4 linked regions of the Saccharomyces cerevisiae S288C genome follow. The protein of the gene in region 1 binds, or shares a complex with, the protein of each later gene. Each region holds a gene or a part of one and is shown on either strand. Other genes may lie near its edges. The genes, in order: ARC40, ARC19, ARP3 and ARC18.

Evidence for each region.
Region 2: ARC40 (region 1) and ARC19 share a complex: the UniProt entries of both Saccharomyces cerevisiae proteins name them as parts of the arp2/3 complex.
Region 3: ARC40 (region 1) and ARP3 share a complex: the UniProt entries of both Saccharomyces cerevisiae proteins name them as parts of the arp2/3 complex.
Region 4: ARC40 (region 1) and ARC18 share a complex: the UniProt entries of both Saccharomyces cerevisiae proteins name them as parts of the arp2/3 complex.

Annotation. Positions count from the first base shown.
Region 1 is NC_001134.8:684,876-689,127, forward strand, and holds ARC40 (Arc40p), read right to left. Parts: upstream 1,718-4,252; coding exon 563-1,717; downstream 1-562. Other genes in the region: DAD3 (Dad3p), read left to right, coding at 102-386; VHC1 (Vhc1p), read left to right, coding at 2,026-4,252. UniProt on the Saccharomyces cerevisiae protein: Functions as a component of the Arp2/3 complex which is involved in regulation of actin polymerization and together with an activating nucleation-promoting factor (NPF) mediates the formation of branched actin networks.
Region 2 is NC_001143.9:416,606-419,970, reverse strand, and holds ARC19 (Arc19p), read left to right. Parts: upstream 1-1,947; coding exon 1,948-2,463; downstream 2,464-3,365. Other genes in the region: snoRNA-splicing protein PRP40, read right to left, coding at 1-1,661; URB1 (Urb1p), read left to right, coding at 3,058-3,365. UniProt on the Saccharomyces cerevisiae protein: Functions as actin-binding component of the Arp2/3 complex which is involved in regulation of actin polymerization and together with an activating nucleation-promoting factor (NPF) mediates the formation of branched actin networks.
Region 3 is NC_001142.9:557,096-561,613, reverse strand, and holds ARP3 (actin-related protein 3), read left to right. Parts: upstream 1-2,455; coding exon 2,456-3,805; downstream 3,806-4,518. Other genes in the region: phosphatidylinositol kinase-related protein kinase TOR1, read right to left, coding at 1-2,198; chaperonin-containing T-complex subunit CCT5, read right to left, coding at 4,012-4,518. UniProt on the Saccharomyces cerevisiae protein: Functions as ATP-binding component of the Arp2/3 complex which is involved in regulation of actin polymerization and together with an activating nucleation-promoting factor (NPF) mediates the formation of branched actin networks.
Region 4 is NC_001144.5:861,218-864,684, reverse strand, and holds ARC18 (Arc18p), read left to right. Parts: upstream 1-2,430; coding exon 2,431-2,967; downstream 2,968-3,467. Other genes in the region: Rho family guanine nucleotide exchange factor ROM2, read right to left, coding at 1-1,971; Hsp70 family ATPase SSQ1, read right to left, coding at 3,160-3,467. UniProt on the Saccharomyces cerevisiae protein: Functions as a component of the Arp2/3 complex which is involved in regulation of actin polymerization and together with an activating nucleation-promoting factor (NPF) mediates the formation of branched actin networks.

The sequences.
Region 1 (4,252 bases):
AGTAATTACATGTAAATAAACTATTCCAAAGAATACAAAAGAAGAGCTTACAGTAGCCAGTCAAAGTCGCTGTGAAACATACACGGCGTTGTAGTCACAGTATGGAACACAATCTTTCACCTTTACAGCAAGAAGTATTGGACAAATACAAACAGCTTTCTTTAGATCTAAAAGCTCTGGATGAAACTATAAAAGAACTAAACTATTCGCAACACAGGCAACAGCATTCACAGCAAGAAACTGTATCGCCAGATGAGATACTACAGGAGATGAGGGACATAGAGGTCAAAATTGGTTTAGTTGGGACACTGCTAAAAGGTAGCGTGTACTCGCTTATCTTGCAAAGAAAGCAAGAACAGGAGTCTTTGGGTAGCAATTCTAAATAATGGTTTGGTGCAAGAAATTGATTCTGATGCTTTATTTTTTACGGTACACTACATTGTGCTGTGAGTTGTAATAATATAGTCTGTATATGCCAAGTGAAGAAAAAAACAATACAAACTCAAGGTGTATTATGAGGTAGGGAATACACATAACAATATATATATATACGTATGTATATTTAAATTGTATAAATGACGATCTTACCGTCTAACCCACAGGAAGAGACTTGTGTGATTTGGCCGTTGGATTCCGCAAAAGGTCTTAATTCCACAATGGCGTTTTCATGTGCACTTTCTTGGACATCTGTGCTAACTTTACCTTTCAAGTCTAATTCTTTAAACTTTCTCAATGCGGAAATACCGAAAGTTGAACTTTCATCATTATTACCACTCAGCTCGTCTGTATTACCAGATGCAGTTAAGGCAGAAGACTTGTTATTGTCTGATTTGTCTAGATTCTTCGCAAATTTCCAGCCTTCAGAGGCTTCGCTGAACAATACCGGATGACAAGAGTATCCTCCACAAACAATCTCGTGGTCGTTTATCCATACTAAGGACCTGTAAGGTAAACCTTCCGGAGCATTGACAGATTGCACTGGAGATTGGTAATCGACAACATTCAAAGTACCATCATGCGCTACATAAGCAATTCTTTCCATCTGACTTCTCCATTCCACATCATGGATATAAGAACCCTGATACCACTCCCTGATTAAACAACCAAAAGGGAATTTCTGGCCCCAGGGTGATCCGGCGACGGATTCCTTGGAATCCAAACCCTTGATAAACCCGCTGAACACACGCATAAACCCATCAGTACCACCAGCAGCTAATAGGACTCCATTTGCATGCCAAGACAGGCAATTGATGGTAGATTTGATGGGTTTCTTGATGTGCTTGGATACCCACCAATTATTCTCGTGTTCGTAATAACAAACAGCGATGATTCTAGCACTGGACCCAACAGCAAACTTATAACCATTTGGTGCCCATGTAACTGAAGTAGCTGCTCTGTTAATACGAAGAAGTACTAACGTGGGCTTGTATGTCCCATCACTCAATGGCTCCCAAACGTAAGCATTACGGTCTTGGGAGCAAGTCACAATACGACCATGTATGGAAATGTCCACAGCAGTAATGGTTTTATCATGATCTTTCAACGTTGCGAATAAAACGGGAGGTGTGTTGTTTGAAACTCTATAGACAAGACAATCTGTTTCGCATGTAACGGCTAAAATAGATTTATCTTGAGAAAAGCAATGAGAGTAGATTGGCGCTTTGACCAGCTTGTAGACGGCAACAACGGACTTGTCTTTAGAATTGGAAAATGACATTAGGAGACTCTCAACTAATATACGTTTACTTCGGCTTATTTTTCCTATTTTTCTTTGTTTCTAATCTGGAAGCTTTCTCGATCAAGATTGCTCTTATTTGACCCTTTTTCATTATAGGCAAGGCGCGGGCGGGTGACAAGAAGATTTTGATAATTGTGCAACTGATAACGTAGGATTCATTATCAACATTGTTGTTAAAGAGTAACAAGGAAATCTAAGAAATGGTTGTGCTTGTTGTCGAAGAAGTGATAGAGACAGTGTTTTTGCCAGCCAATTCTCTTTAAGAATAGGCCTTTCTTGTAGGATTAATGGTTAGTAGGTTTTATCAGATTCCAGGTACGCATCGGCCATCGTCGGCAATATCTTCTTCAAATGAATCTTCTTCACTGTTGTCTGCAAGGAGAATAAGTCAAACATATTTCAATTATCAGGCGACCCCTGAATGCCAAAAAGTTTCCTCTAAGTATGATCCTGATAACCCAAACAAAGATAAGTTGGGAACATACGATGGGGTATTTGTGCCTACTGCTTTAAACGTATTGTCTATCCTTATGTTTCTTCGTTTTGGCTTCATTTTGGGTCAGTTAGGTATTATATGCACCATCGGTCTTCTGCTATTGAGTTACACTATTAATCTTCTCACCACGTTAAGTATATCTGCTATATCTACAAACGGGACTGTTAGGGGCGGGGGTGCTTATTATATGATTTCAAGAAGTTTAGGACCTGAATTTGGTGGATCCATTGGGCTTGTCTTTTTCTTAGGGCAGGTGTTCAATGCAGGTATGAACGCAGTGGGTATTATCGAACCTTTACTCTATAACTTGGGTTATTCTGCTCAAGGCGAGCCACCTGCAGCTTTGGGAGAGCTACTACCAAGAGGGCATTGGCACGAATTTACATATGCCACGGTCATTCTTTTCTTATGTTTTTCTGTGGCTTTTGTTGGCTCGCAAACAGTGTCAAGAGCAGGGAATATTCTTTTTTTGGTACTGGCAGCTTCTATATTTTCCATTCCACTTTCTGCATTGATAAGATCGCCATTCACTGAAGGCGGTATCAGTTATACAGGTCCTTCATGGCAAACTTTTCATGATAACCTGCTCCCTCACTTAACAAAAGGTGCAGCAGGTTCGTTACTCAAAGGTAAGGAAACATTCAATGATTTATTTGGCGTTTTTTTTCCTGCTACAGCTGGTATATTCGCGGGCGCAGGAATGTCAAGTGAATTGAGAAAGCCCTCTAAATCAATTCCTAAGGGTACCTTATGGGGTTTACTTTTCACTTTTATCTGTTATGCCGTTGTTGTCTTCTCCATGGGTTGTTCCATTCCCAGAAGATCGTTATATGATGAAGTACAAATTATACAGACGATCAGTTCCGTTCAGTGGGTTATATTCATGGGTGAAATGGCTACTTCTCTTTTCTCCATCATAGTGGGGATGCTCGGTGCTGCTTATGTATTAGAAGCAATTGCAAAGGATAACATTATTCCTGGTTTGGAGATTTTTGCTCATTCACCGTTATATTCATTGATTTTTACTTGGATTCTAACACAGCTATGTTTGTTTTCAGACGTCAATAAAATCGCCACATTTATCACAATGACATTCTTAATGACGTTTGTGGTCATGAATTTGGCGTGCTTCCTATTAGGTATTTCCTCTGCTCCCAATTTCAGGCCCTCTTTCAAATACTTTAACAGGTATACTACAGCAATTGGCGCATTACTTTCTGTTGTTGCGATGTTAATAGTTGATGGCATCTCAGCGTCTGTCTTGTTTTTGGCTATGATTTTGCTATTTTTATTCATTCATTATTTTTCACCACCGAAGTCTTGGGGTGATGTGTCTCAAAGTTTAATATATCATCAAGTGAGAAAGTATTTGCTTCGCCTACGTCAAGACAATATTAAATACTGGAGGCCTCAAATATTGCTGTTTGTAGATAATCCAAGGACGAGCTGGAACTTAATAAGGTTTTGCAATCATTTGAAAAAAGGTGGTTTGTATATTTTAGGCCATGTTGCAGTAACTGCGGATTTTCCGAAGCAACTAAATGAATTAAAAACTCAGCAGAAAGCTTGGATGAAGATCAGAGACATGGCAGCAATAAAGGCTTTTGTCCAAGTTGGGACTGGTCCCTCCCTTATATGGGGAATTAGGAATGTTTTTATTGGTTCCGGGCTTGGAGGTATGAAACCAAACATTACTGTTGTCGGTTTTTTTGACCTCGAAAGTTATAGAAAGCACATCCCACAAAGTCGCAGCCAAAATAACCTTCAGAAACAGGTGGAAATAAAAGCTACAGTGCCACGTAGTACATGCTCTGATGTCAAAATCAATGTTCCATTGCCTACGGATGAGTGTAAAAATGAAACCAAAGTTAATGTACAACAATGGGTTCAAATTGTAGAAGATCTATCACTGATGCAATCCAATATTGCCATAGCGCATGGATTCAAAAATTTAGAGATACCGAACAAAAGGGACAGCTGCTTTCCAAAAAAAACTATAGATCTTTATCCCATCCAAA
Region 2 (3,365 bases), on another chromosome or scaffold:
GAGCTTTCAGGCTTAAAATCCTCGAAAATTTGTCTTCTTATGTTATCTTCATCGCCTAGTGCCTTGTATTCAAGAGATTCGCCAAGCTCTTTGGAAGCTAAATCCCACGTACTAGGCTTGGGCTTACCGGTTTTTGTATATGTCCTTTGCAAAAGTAACCAAAAATAGTGCTTCTTTTGCTCCAATATCCTACGCTCATTTTGGAGTTTCTGTTGTATCTTTTCGTTTCTTTGCTTTATCAAACCATCAACAATCAAACTGATGTCTTCTTTATCCACCTTGTCAAATTTCCGGTCATTTTCCAGAACTTTTTCTATGTTTTGCTTGGTGATCTCGTCGCTATCGGCATCATTCCATTCAAAATTTTGATCTATCAACGTCTGTTGGGCTATTGATCTTTGTGCAAAGATGTACATCCTTTGTTCATCAACAAAATCTAAAAATAAATCAAGGCAGGACGAGCCATTCCTTCCAAGCATATGTAAAAAGCGCGGATCAGACTTTATATGAGGATAAATATCTGACCATCTAGTATTTGCTTTGATTTTGATTGGCACTTCTCTTAATAAGCTTTTAAAGTTATCTCTAGCAATACGGTCTCTGGTATAATTGCGCAGTCGGAGCTCATTTAGTTTGTTTTGAAGATCGTTTTCAATCGTATTTACTATTTTCAGATACTCGTTTAAAACATCTTCGTGGGTTAAGACTTTGAAGTGCCGGTTCGCCATATATCTCTTACTCTTATCAAAAACATAGTGATTTAAAAGCTGCTGCCAGGTTATGAAAGTTTCAGAGGATGATGTTGTTATAATACCGTTTAAATACTCTCTTAGTTCTTTTAGGGCCTGTGTTTTCAATTTTTTTTTTGATTCTTTCTGAGTGTCGATGAGGGTATCTATATAATCTTGAAAGGTCTGTCTCTTTGTCTTTTCATTGACCACGGAGTGTTTGTATATTGGTTCGTCGGCAATTAGTCTCTTTGCGGTAGGCCAACGGGTGTAATATTTTATATGAGAATTGTTTTGCAACATTTTCTGAAAGGCTTCTTTGAATTTGCTTGTTTCATTGTGTTCCTTAAGAAGTTGATCGGCTGATCTATTGGAAAGATATTTCTCAAACATTTCTTTCTTCCATAAGGGGTCATCATCGACCATCCAATACCTTGGATCTCTGGTCCCCAGTTCTGAAATAATTCTACTGAATGACCAAGTAGAGTCTACTTGATTTTCCTTCAGCATGGTAATAAATTCCTTCTCTGCTTCTTCTTTAGTCCTTCTCCTGACATTAAGCAGTTTAGAGTTATTAGCATATTGGCTTTCCTCCTCGTTTATAGTTCGTCCCGGCTCTTGTTTTTCTCCAGCCGTAAGGGCTATTCTATTTCCATTAACCTGTGCATGGGATACTGTATCATGTTTTTGTTCTGCGATGGGTTCTACTTTCTTCTCGAAGGCCGGAATAGTCCAGCTGGTTTCTCTTGTTGTTGGATTATAATAGTATACTTTGCCGTCTGCCGTCTTGGCCGCCTTCCAGCCATTTTCTCGAAGAAGTAGCTCCTCCTGAGAAATTAGTTCCTTGGGCTTCTCCCACGTAGATTTCTTTGTCAAAGTATTGTAATAATATATCCTTCCACTTGCATCTTTAGCTTCCTTCCAAATAGACATAGTTTCACGTCTCCCACCTCCGGCAATGCTTGTCTAGTGGTCGATCTGGCTTCAGACCTTGTTATCCTGATAGGTAGGCACGCTATTGCGATGTCATCAACTGCCAGATTTCCAAGTACATTATTATTGTCGATAATTTCATATCGTTTACCACGTCGCCCCTTTTGTATAGCAAAATACAATTATAGAACAAAAAAAGCCTGTAAAGCCAAGCAAATAGAGGCTTTCGGAACAACTCGGTGTCACTTTGACAAAAGATAAAAGAGGAAGCAACTGATAGTAGGAAATGTCACAATCATTACGTCCGTATCTAACGGCTGTTCGTTATTCCCTGGAAGCTGCGTTGACTTTGAGCAATTTCTCTTCGCAGGAAGTGGAGAGGCACAACAGACCGGAAGTTGAAGTCCCTAACACTAGCGCCGAATTGTTGCTCCAACCGATGCATATATCTCGTAATGAAAATGAACAAGTATTGATTGAGCCCAGTGTAAACTCGGTGCGTATGAGTTTAATGGTGAAACAGGCAGATGAAATTGAGCAGATTTTAGTTCACAAGTTTACTAGATTTTTGGAACAGCGTGCTGAAGCATTCTACATTCTGAGACGTGTACCAATACCTGGCTACAGTATTTCTTTTCTAATAACTAATAAGCATACTGAATCAATGAAAACTGGGAAATTGGTTGATTTTATTATTGAATTCATGGAGGACGTGGATAAGGAAATCAGTGAAATTAAACTGTTTTTGAATGCCAGAGCAAGATTTGTTGCGGAAGCATATCTTGATGAATTTGTCTATTAGATTCCTAATATAGGAAAGGGAATCTTTCTCCGTCAGGGCCCTATTGACGGAAAACTTTACGATCTGTACTGACTGTGTTAGTTTGCGTACTCAATTGAACTATTTCGAGACTATTTAGTTAGATACAATAACATGTGTATGTGAATTAATTATAAACGTACTTTTAAATTGCAGTTACTTTGTATAATTATGGTGATTTTTTTAGTACTTAAATTATATTCATAAAAAGGGATTAAAATGTTTCTCCCGACACCTAAAATTAAACTTCAATCTGTCAATTCTAACACAAAACGTTTTCATTTTACGTAAACAAATGAAGATTGAAGATTCTAAAGCATTTATTATTACTGCCGCACTAGTATACGACCAAACTAAAATTATATGATAATAGTGCACCAACATATAGTAAACAGCTTTTACCTATGCACGACTTGCATGAGGATTTCAATATTATATCACTGTAGACGAAATATGAAAAATTTCAGCAATAAAGCTCATCGCAAAGAATAGTTCGGTTATATTCTTGATTGGATATTATTTCTCTAATCTATGCGGTACTACTTCATCTAACAGAACTAGAGGAGCACTTACATAATGAGTAATCATAGCGAAGCCTATGGATCTCGCGACCAGAGAAGGGAGAAGTACACCCAAGGGAAAGAGTTCGAAGACGGTACATTAGAAACACTAGAAAGTATAATCAGTGCAGTCGAAGATGAAACTCTCTCCAAAGATTACCAACCTCTAATAGTGTTCTTCCAAAGAGGATTTGGTGCTCAATTGGTACAGACTTGGTCATATTATGCTCAAGTAAATAACCATGGGAAATTCTCGAAAACTACCTCATTACTGACTAAAACCTTACGAGTTTTGTCATCTGATACTAGTACAGTGACTATTGG
Region 3 (4,518 bases), on another chromosome or scaffold:
AAACTGGCAGTTTCTTCCTTTTCTCGAGAAGAAGTTGAGAATTTTAATTTTGTTAGCAGTTCCAGTAGTATTTTTCTTATCGATGGGATGACGTATGCAGGGTTTACGGAAGACAACCTACCGACAAGCTCCATTGCTACTGACTGAATATTGAACGACTCATCGTGCAGTGCAGTAAACAAGAGTCTCAAATTATCTGGTTGTGCCAACTGGGGATCGAAACATGGATTAAGATTCTTTAAAACTTCTAAACGGATATCTTGTAAAGGGTCCGCAATCGTAATGGCTAGAAGCTTTGATAACACTTCAGATACAGTGTTCAGAGAGTGTAGTGATGTTTGTTTGCAGATGTTATCCTTGACGTAAATTTCACAAGATGTCAACGCAGCTAGTTTCCTTACTCTGGGATCTGTATGCTCAATGTAAGAAAGTGCAACAATTCTCACGAATTCCACCAACGAAAATCTGCTTTTGATATTTTTTAACATTCTAAAAGCTTGTATAATGATTTTTATATCATTATTATCATCGTTACTTTCACCAGTTTTCTGTAGGATGTTTTTATTTCTCCATTCTCTTGCTCTTTCTCTCGAAAACGATGGTATCTCCATTGGTGACCCTGGCTGGATAAATGGTGTTCCAGATAAGGTTGAACAGACTAGGTTAAGCAACTCGTCATTTATTTTGGGGCCTAGTGATGGTATTCTCTCAGTCAGAATTTGAAACGTTTCCTGCATATAGTCGGAAAGAGGGCATTTGAACATCAGGTCCAGTATATTTCTGTTTAATAATTTACCTAGAACGGGGCCCAAGGGAACTGCCAATCTTCCGATGCAGTAGAAAATTTCATTTTCAAATTTCTTTCTGAATTTGAATTTCGTCTGTAAATCATGTTCAATATAATCAAGAATTTGTTTCACATAAGGTGCGATATCGGGCCCGACTTCATATGCAATATCACCAATCGATATTAAAATCTGTGGTTTGTCATCTTTGAGATGTGGTATTTTATTTGCTGGAGCATTGGTTAAAATCTCTAAATAGTTGTCCATAATTTGGTGCAAATATTTGCCAGCAAATAATTGAGGATTGAACGATGCTAATAGGGGAACAATCTGGTAAATCTTTTCTCTAATCATTTTCGCTTTATGATTTTCATAAGCTATGCAATTTAGACACATTTGGTCGAACACTTGATTCAAAAAGGGATCCTTCAAAAACAAGATTTCCTTATAAACCAACAAACTTGCATGGATGCATTCTAATGTGTTTACTTGAAATCCGTATTCACAACTTGTAGCCAATCTCTGCACCCACTGGCTAGTTAACTGAGGATCCCTATTTCGTAGGGTGGAAAGACATTTGGCCAATGTAATGGACGCATCAATTCTGATCACCAAATGTGGGTCTCTTAGTGCTCTCCAAATGTTATCTAGTATGGAATTCAAGTATTGGTAGAGTAAATAAGGACAATTCTCTGCCAACGCTGTTATAATCAGAAGCGCAGCATGTTTAGCATGGTCTGGCTTCGAACTCGAGAATGAATTCTTTTCCGTGGAGGCAGTAAGCCATTCTAAGCAAGACTTTATCTCAAATTCCACGAAATCAGAGGTATATGTACCTCCTGGAACGGCTAACTTGCCCAGAGTCTTTGCAGCGAGTCTCATGACCTCTACATCATTAGAAGGTATTAGCCCTCGAAGGTAACCAGCCAGTCGTGAAGTTTCGTTAGGCAACCTTTCAGTATATGCGTAGAATGAAATCAAAGTGTCTATGGATAGAACAGCCCCTACCCTAGTGCTCGTTTTTTTTGTATGGACCAGCTCCAAAATCTTATTGTTTATGTCATTTGAAACTGCTTGGAACTCTTCTATCGACAATTCATGTTCCAAGGATACTAGTAGATCAAATAATGAAATACTGGCCAATTTTCGTTCCTCCTTGTAATCACTGGTTAATTCGCGGAAAATTTTCTCCAAAATGGGCTTAAAATTTACATCCCCATTACTGCCAATCACCACTCCATCAAACCTACTAGAAGTCAGACCGAATTCATCCCCGTTCCTGCTCGCATTCATTTTCATGTTCATATTCACATTCAGATTCGGTGCCAACGGCACATTTCTATCCATGTCCATATCGTTGTTAGCCGCTTTCAAAAGTTTACTCTTCCAAATCTGCTCCTCATGCGGTTCCATATCAATGCAAACCTGCTAGCCGGTTGATGTATGTTTCACTTTACCAATGACTCTCTCGTGAAGCTACTATGGCTCTTTTTTAACGTAAGCTCAAGAAGACCCTTCGATAAGGACTTTCAGTAGTCACCCGGCTGTCCGCGGCTTCAAAATGGCGAGAACCCCTTTTCAAAAGTTTCAAACAAAAATATATGAGAGTAGTTTAATCAAGAATTGGCCCTACCGTAAGGCCTCACGATTGAGCAAGAAATTAGGATTCAATGTCATACTTAAACAATCCCGCTGTTGTCATGGACAATGGTACCGGGCTGACCAAGCTCGGTTTCGCCGGTAATGATTCTCCCTCCTGGGTCTTCCCTACTGCAATAGCCACAGCTGCACCTTCAAATACAAAGAAGTCCTCGGGCGTTGGTGCGCCCTCAGCAGTTAGTAATGAAGCATCATACTTTGGAAATTCCACCTCTGCAACCAATTTCAATGGTGCAACAGGTGGTTTGCTGTCTAATAATTTATCCGGTAAAAGAGGTACAGAAGATTTGGATTTCTATATTGGAAATGAGGCTTTAGTAGCATCCCAAGGACCCTCTTACTCTTTGAGCTATCCAATCAGACACGGTCAAGTGGAAAATTGGGATCACATGGAAAGATTCTGGGAAAATTCCATCTTCAAGTATTTAAGAACAGAGCCTGAAGATCATTTTTTCCTATTGACCGAACCACCACTGAATCCTCCAGAAAACAGAGAGCAAGTGGCGGAGATTTTTTTTGAATCATTTAATTGTGCTGGTCTATATATTGCTGTGCAAGCAGTTTTGGCTCTGGCTGCGTCATGGACCTCTTCAAAAGTCACGGATAGATCATTAACTGGTACTGTTATAGATTCTGGTGATGGTGTCACCCACGTCATCCCAGTGGCGGAAGGTTACGTCATTGGCTCAGCAATTAAAAACATTCCAATAGCCGGTAGAGACATCACATTGTTCATCCAATCCTTGCTAAGAGAACGTGGTGAAGCAGACACTTCCTTGAGAACTGCCGAAAAGATTAAGCAAGAATACTGTTACGTCTGTCCAGATATTGTAAAGGAGTTTAACAAATTCGATAAAGATCCTTCTAAATTTGCCCAATTTGTGGTGGAAAACCAAGAAAAGACAAGGAGAAAAGTCGTAGATATTGGTTACGAAAGATTCTTAGCACCTGAAATCTTCTTCAATCCAGAAATTGCATCCTCAGACTTCTTGACTCCTTTACCCACGGTAGTGGATCAAACTATCCAGGCTTGCCCTATTGACGTCCGTAAAGGTTTATACAACAATATTGTACTATCAGGTGGGTCTACCATGTTCAAAGATTTTGGACGTCGTTTACAAAGAGATCTAAAGTCTATCGTAAATAACAGAATCGCACAAAGTGAGCTGTTAAGTGGAACTAAATCGACTGGTGTAGATGTTTCCGTGATTTCTCATCGGAAGCAGAGAAACGCTGTCTGGTTTGGTGGCTCGCTGCTGGCACAAACAGCCGAATTCAAAGGCTACTGTCACACTAAGAAAGATTATGAGGAATATGGTCCGGAAATTGTTAGAAATTTCAGCCTTTTCAACATGGTTTGATTATTGAGTCATGACTCATCTTATAAGGAAAAAGGTACAAAAACAAATGCAAATAACTGAAACGCCCCTCACTTCATTTAAATATACGTATACAACTGATTATATACACGTATATGTACAATCAAGTAACCCCAAATGCTGATCTGAGAAAAAAAATTGTGGGATATGTGATTAAAACTTATCTTTTATTATTTATTTATACAAAATCAATACTCATCTTTACCACTAATGATGACGTTATCAATCTTTAAAATCATTCTACATAATTGAGTAGCTAAAAGAATTTGCTGCTTTTTGCCAATAAATGGATCAACGACAAATAGTTCCTTCATGTCATTAGACCCGTAACCTAAGCAATCGACACCAATGTTGGAAATCTTTTCTTTCAGTTGTTTACTTTTCAATGTAGACAAAGTTCCGATTGGATCAAGACCAGAATTTTCAGCCAAAGTCATTGGAATGGTGTCTAACGCTTGGGCGAATCCACGGAATGCATACTGATCAATACCACGTTGCTTATCAGCTTCCTCAGAGACAGCCAGGGACATAGTCACTTCGGCTGCTCCCCCACCGTAAACTACACGTGAGTCTTTAACCAAGTTACGTACCACACATAGTGAGTCATGCAATGCACGTTCAGCTTCATCCACGATCATTTTATTGGAACCGCGAACAAAACATGTTACAGTTTTTGTTTCTTTACTTTGCTCGAT
Region 4 (3,467 bases), on another chromosome or scaffold:
TTCCTTTTTTGGTAAGTTTTCCCAATCCTCTTTAGATACGGAACTTGTCCAAGATGGCTTTTCTTCGTCATCATCATCCAATGCCATTGATATATTACGTTTCAGGCCGCCATTTGGTTTCAGATTTAACCTTGCTTGTTGCTCAAGACGTCTTGGACACGAAATAGAGTAACACAAAGCGTCTCTTGTGCACGTAGGGGAATAGCATTCCGCCAGTAATGTAAACACACCATTGACGTTATGAATGGCTGCAGGGTTCTTTTGCTGGGACAATGAACTACTCATATGTAGCCTCGACCCTGTCAAAGTTGCCTGATCACTATTCAAAGATGAAGTTGAACTTGATGGAACCATTCCGGAATTCGGATAAGAGTGGTTCCCGGAATTAAAAGATGATGAGTTTGGGAGTAGCATCAGTGGATCATGGGCGTTTGTGGAACCTGTTCCTGTAAATCTTGAGTTATCTGTAAATTCGTAAACTTCATGTGGTGAATCTCTTAACCTGTGCTCGTATACCACATCATGGAACAGCTTTTGTGCATCTAGTGATCTACCAAATAACAAGGCTAAGTTTCTATCAGAAGTTCTAATGATAGCACAGATGACATCGACTGCCTGCTGCCCTGTAAATGCGTCACGGTAAACTAATCCATCCTTCTTATGTTCCCCGAGTTGTATCGAACTTTTAAATTTTGTGGCGACTCTTGACAACAAAGCTGGATATACCTGAGGTTTTTTTGATGAAGCGCTCATAACAGGTCTAGATGCCGACAAAGGTGTCATACTACTTCTACGTGGAGAAGATAGAGAAGTTCCTGAAACCGAAGTGTATCTTTTTAAAGCTAATGAGGTGGAAGAAACTCTCGTTTTAAGACCCAACCCAATATTAGACGAGCTTCCCATAACACTTGAGGAGTTTCCAGACCCGTGGACATTATTTAGGCTACTGTGACTGTTTGAAGAGTGATGATGATGATGATGATGATGAGGATCTGAGAATGGGTTGGAAGTTATATCATATTTTTGCGTAGCTTTCCTGCTGTTAGAAGTCTTCGATTGAAAAGATGATGCAATATTTTTTAGAGTAGATGAGTTCAACGACATCGATCTAGATGATATAGAATGTGAATGTTGAGGGTAATTACTGTTACTACTACCCACTTGATAATGTGCGCCATTATTATTAGTATTATTATTATTATGATTGTTAATATTATTATGCTGAATATGCTGGTGATGTTGGTGCTGTTCGTGCAAGTCTTTGGAACTTGGTCTCGAAAAGAAACCAAACCCTTGCAAAGGCGATTTTCTAGCCTGTGTAGGAGTGGTTGATGCACTGCCGGTGGAAAAACTGCTCTGCTTCTTAAGACCAGCAAGTGCTAGTTGCGGGAGCGAAGGTTTCCTCTTAGGCACAAAAGCTGTAGTACTTTTATTCTTCTGGTAAACTTCATTTCTTGGAGACATTGGAGGCAAAGGGTGGTCATTATAGTGCTTGGCTTGTCTACTAGCACTATTACTCGTTGAATATATATGGGACATCGATTTAGCATGAACAATGGGATGGGAAGATGTGGCATCTCTTGCCTTCTTTGGACTGCTCACAGGTGTATTATCAGCACTAGACAAACTTTGTGTATCTGGAACTTCCTTAATATTAGTCTGCTGCGATAAAATGTAATTTGAGCTTTTCCCCTTCATTTCGTTATTTGGTATATCAGAATCATCGATGGCGGCTTCAACTCCAGAACGTCTCCTCTGCTTGGCAATAATGATGTCATTAGCAATGTCTTCAGAAAGCAGAACATTTAGATTCTGGATATTTTCGATTCTATTAGGCAGCAGCTGAGAACTTATGTCTCCGTGCGAGTCACTATCAAAAGTAGCGAAGGAATCTGGCCTCCTTTCTACACCAAATATTTGGGAGTATATGTCATTTCTGTCCCCTAAGCTGTCAACGTTGGTTTCGCTCATAACCGCAGGAAAAGAGATGAATTGTCCAATTAAGTCAGCAGTAATAGAGCACTGTAATCGATTACACTAACAGAGCGAATGAATATATTAATGACCACAAACAACAAATAAAAAAATAGCTATAAAACAGCAAAAAAAAAATCCAGGAAAACCTAATCGGCTCAATACTGTTATTAAATTAGGTCGTCAGTACTCACTGGTCATAATGCCCTTTAAAAACTTTCTTCAAGCCTTAGGACCTCGGACTTCCATACCATTGTTTTCACTATCATTCTCTCTCAGTTTCACAGACTCGGCCGTTACGCGGATCATCCACCACGAACCCCTATCCTTTCCGTTGCGGTTTGGTTTAGTATAACAATGAATAACAATAAATTAAACACTTGGTGCGCAGTAACAAACATCAATAAAGGAAGATTATTGGTATTATCAGTCTCTCCACTCCCAGTATATTAATAAATGCCTGCGTATCACTCGACTTTCCCTGTAGATCCTAACACTGACCGCATGGTAGGGAACTTTGCGCTTCTGCCCTTGAACACTAAGTTCAGGGGTCCTGCATACCCCAGCAATTCCGATTACGATATTATCGACGAGTGCTTGGACCTATTTCGTGCCAATTCCTTCTTCAAGAATTTTGAAATTAAATCACCCGCCGACAGAGTGCTCATCTACGGAATTCTCTTTATCAATGATTGCCTAGCCCATTTGAAAATAACAACGTCATTTAACGAAGCCGTCAAAGTGTTAACCAATGTGGCCTTGGACAACTTTACTTTACCAGGTACACCGGGTTTCCCTCTGAATAATGTTTACCAAGTTCCAGTACAAGATCATAATTCGATGGACTTGTTGAAGACTTATATTCAGCAATTCCGTCAAGAATTGGCAATGAGACTATTAGAAAGAGTCTATAGCTCTACAGATTCTAAGGAATATCCCTCAAAGTTTTGGTTGGCGTTCACAAGAAGAAGATTCATGAACAAATCTCTATAAAGGTATACGGTGCAAGGAAAATAATAAAAACTAGAATTTATGGGAACATAATAATCCACATGCAACTTTATTTGAACCGAAAATTTGAAACGGGAAAGAAATATATAAATGTATAAAGTATAAATACGTCAAAATATGCTTTAATGAACGATATACACGTTAATATACAAGTCTTATTTGTGTTTTGTTCACTTATTTACCTTGATTCTGCTGGTTTTTTGTTGCGCTTTGGAATAATTTTAATGCCCTACCCTGTAGCGCATCCGTAGCTTTTTTTATTCCGTTTACATCAATTGACATGTCATTTTCGTTAGCCTTAAAATTCTTTATAGCTTGTCTCAGAGCTTTGATGTCCTCTACGATATTAGAATACTCTTTTTCGCTAGAAATCAGTTTTTCATATCTTTTAAATAAATTCTCAGTATCACTTATCATAATGTCAGCCTTAGAGATAAGCTCTAACCTTTGCCTGATCAAGTTATCTTGTGCCCTATTTGCAT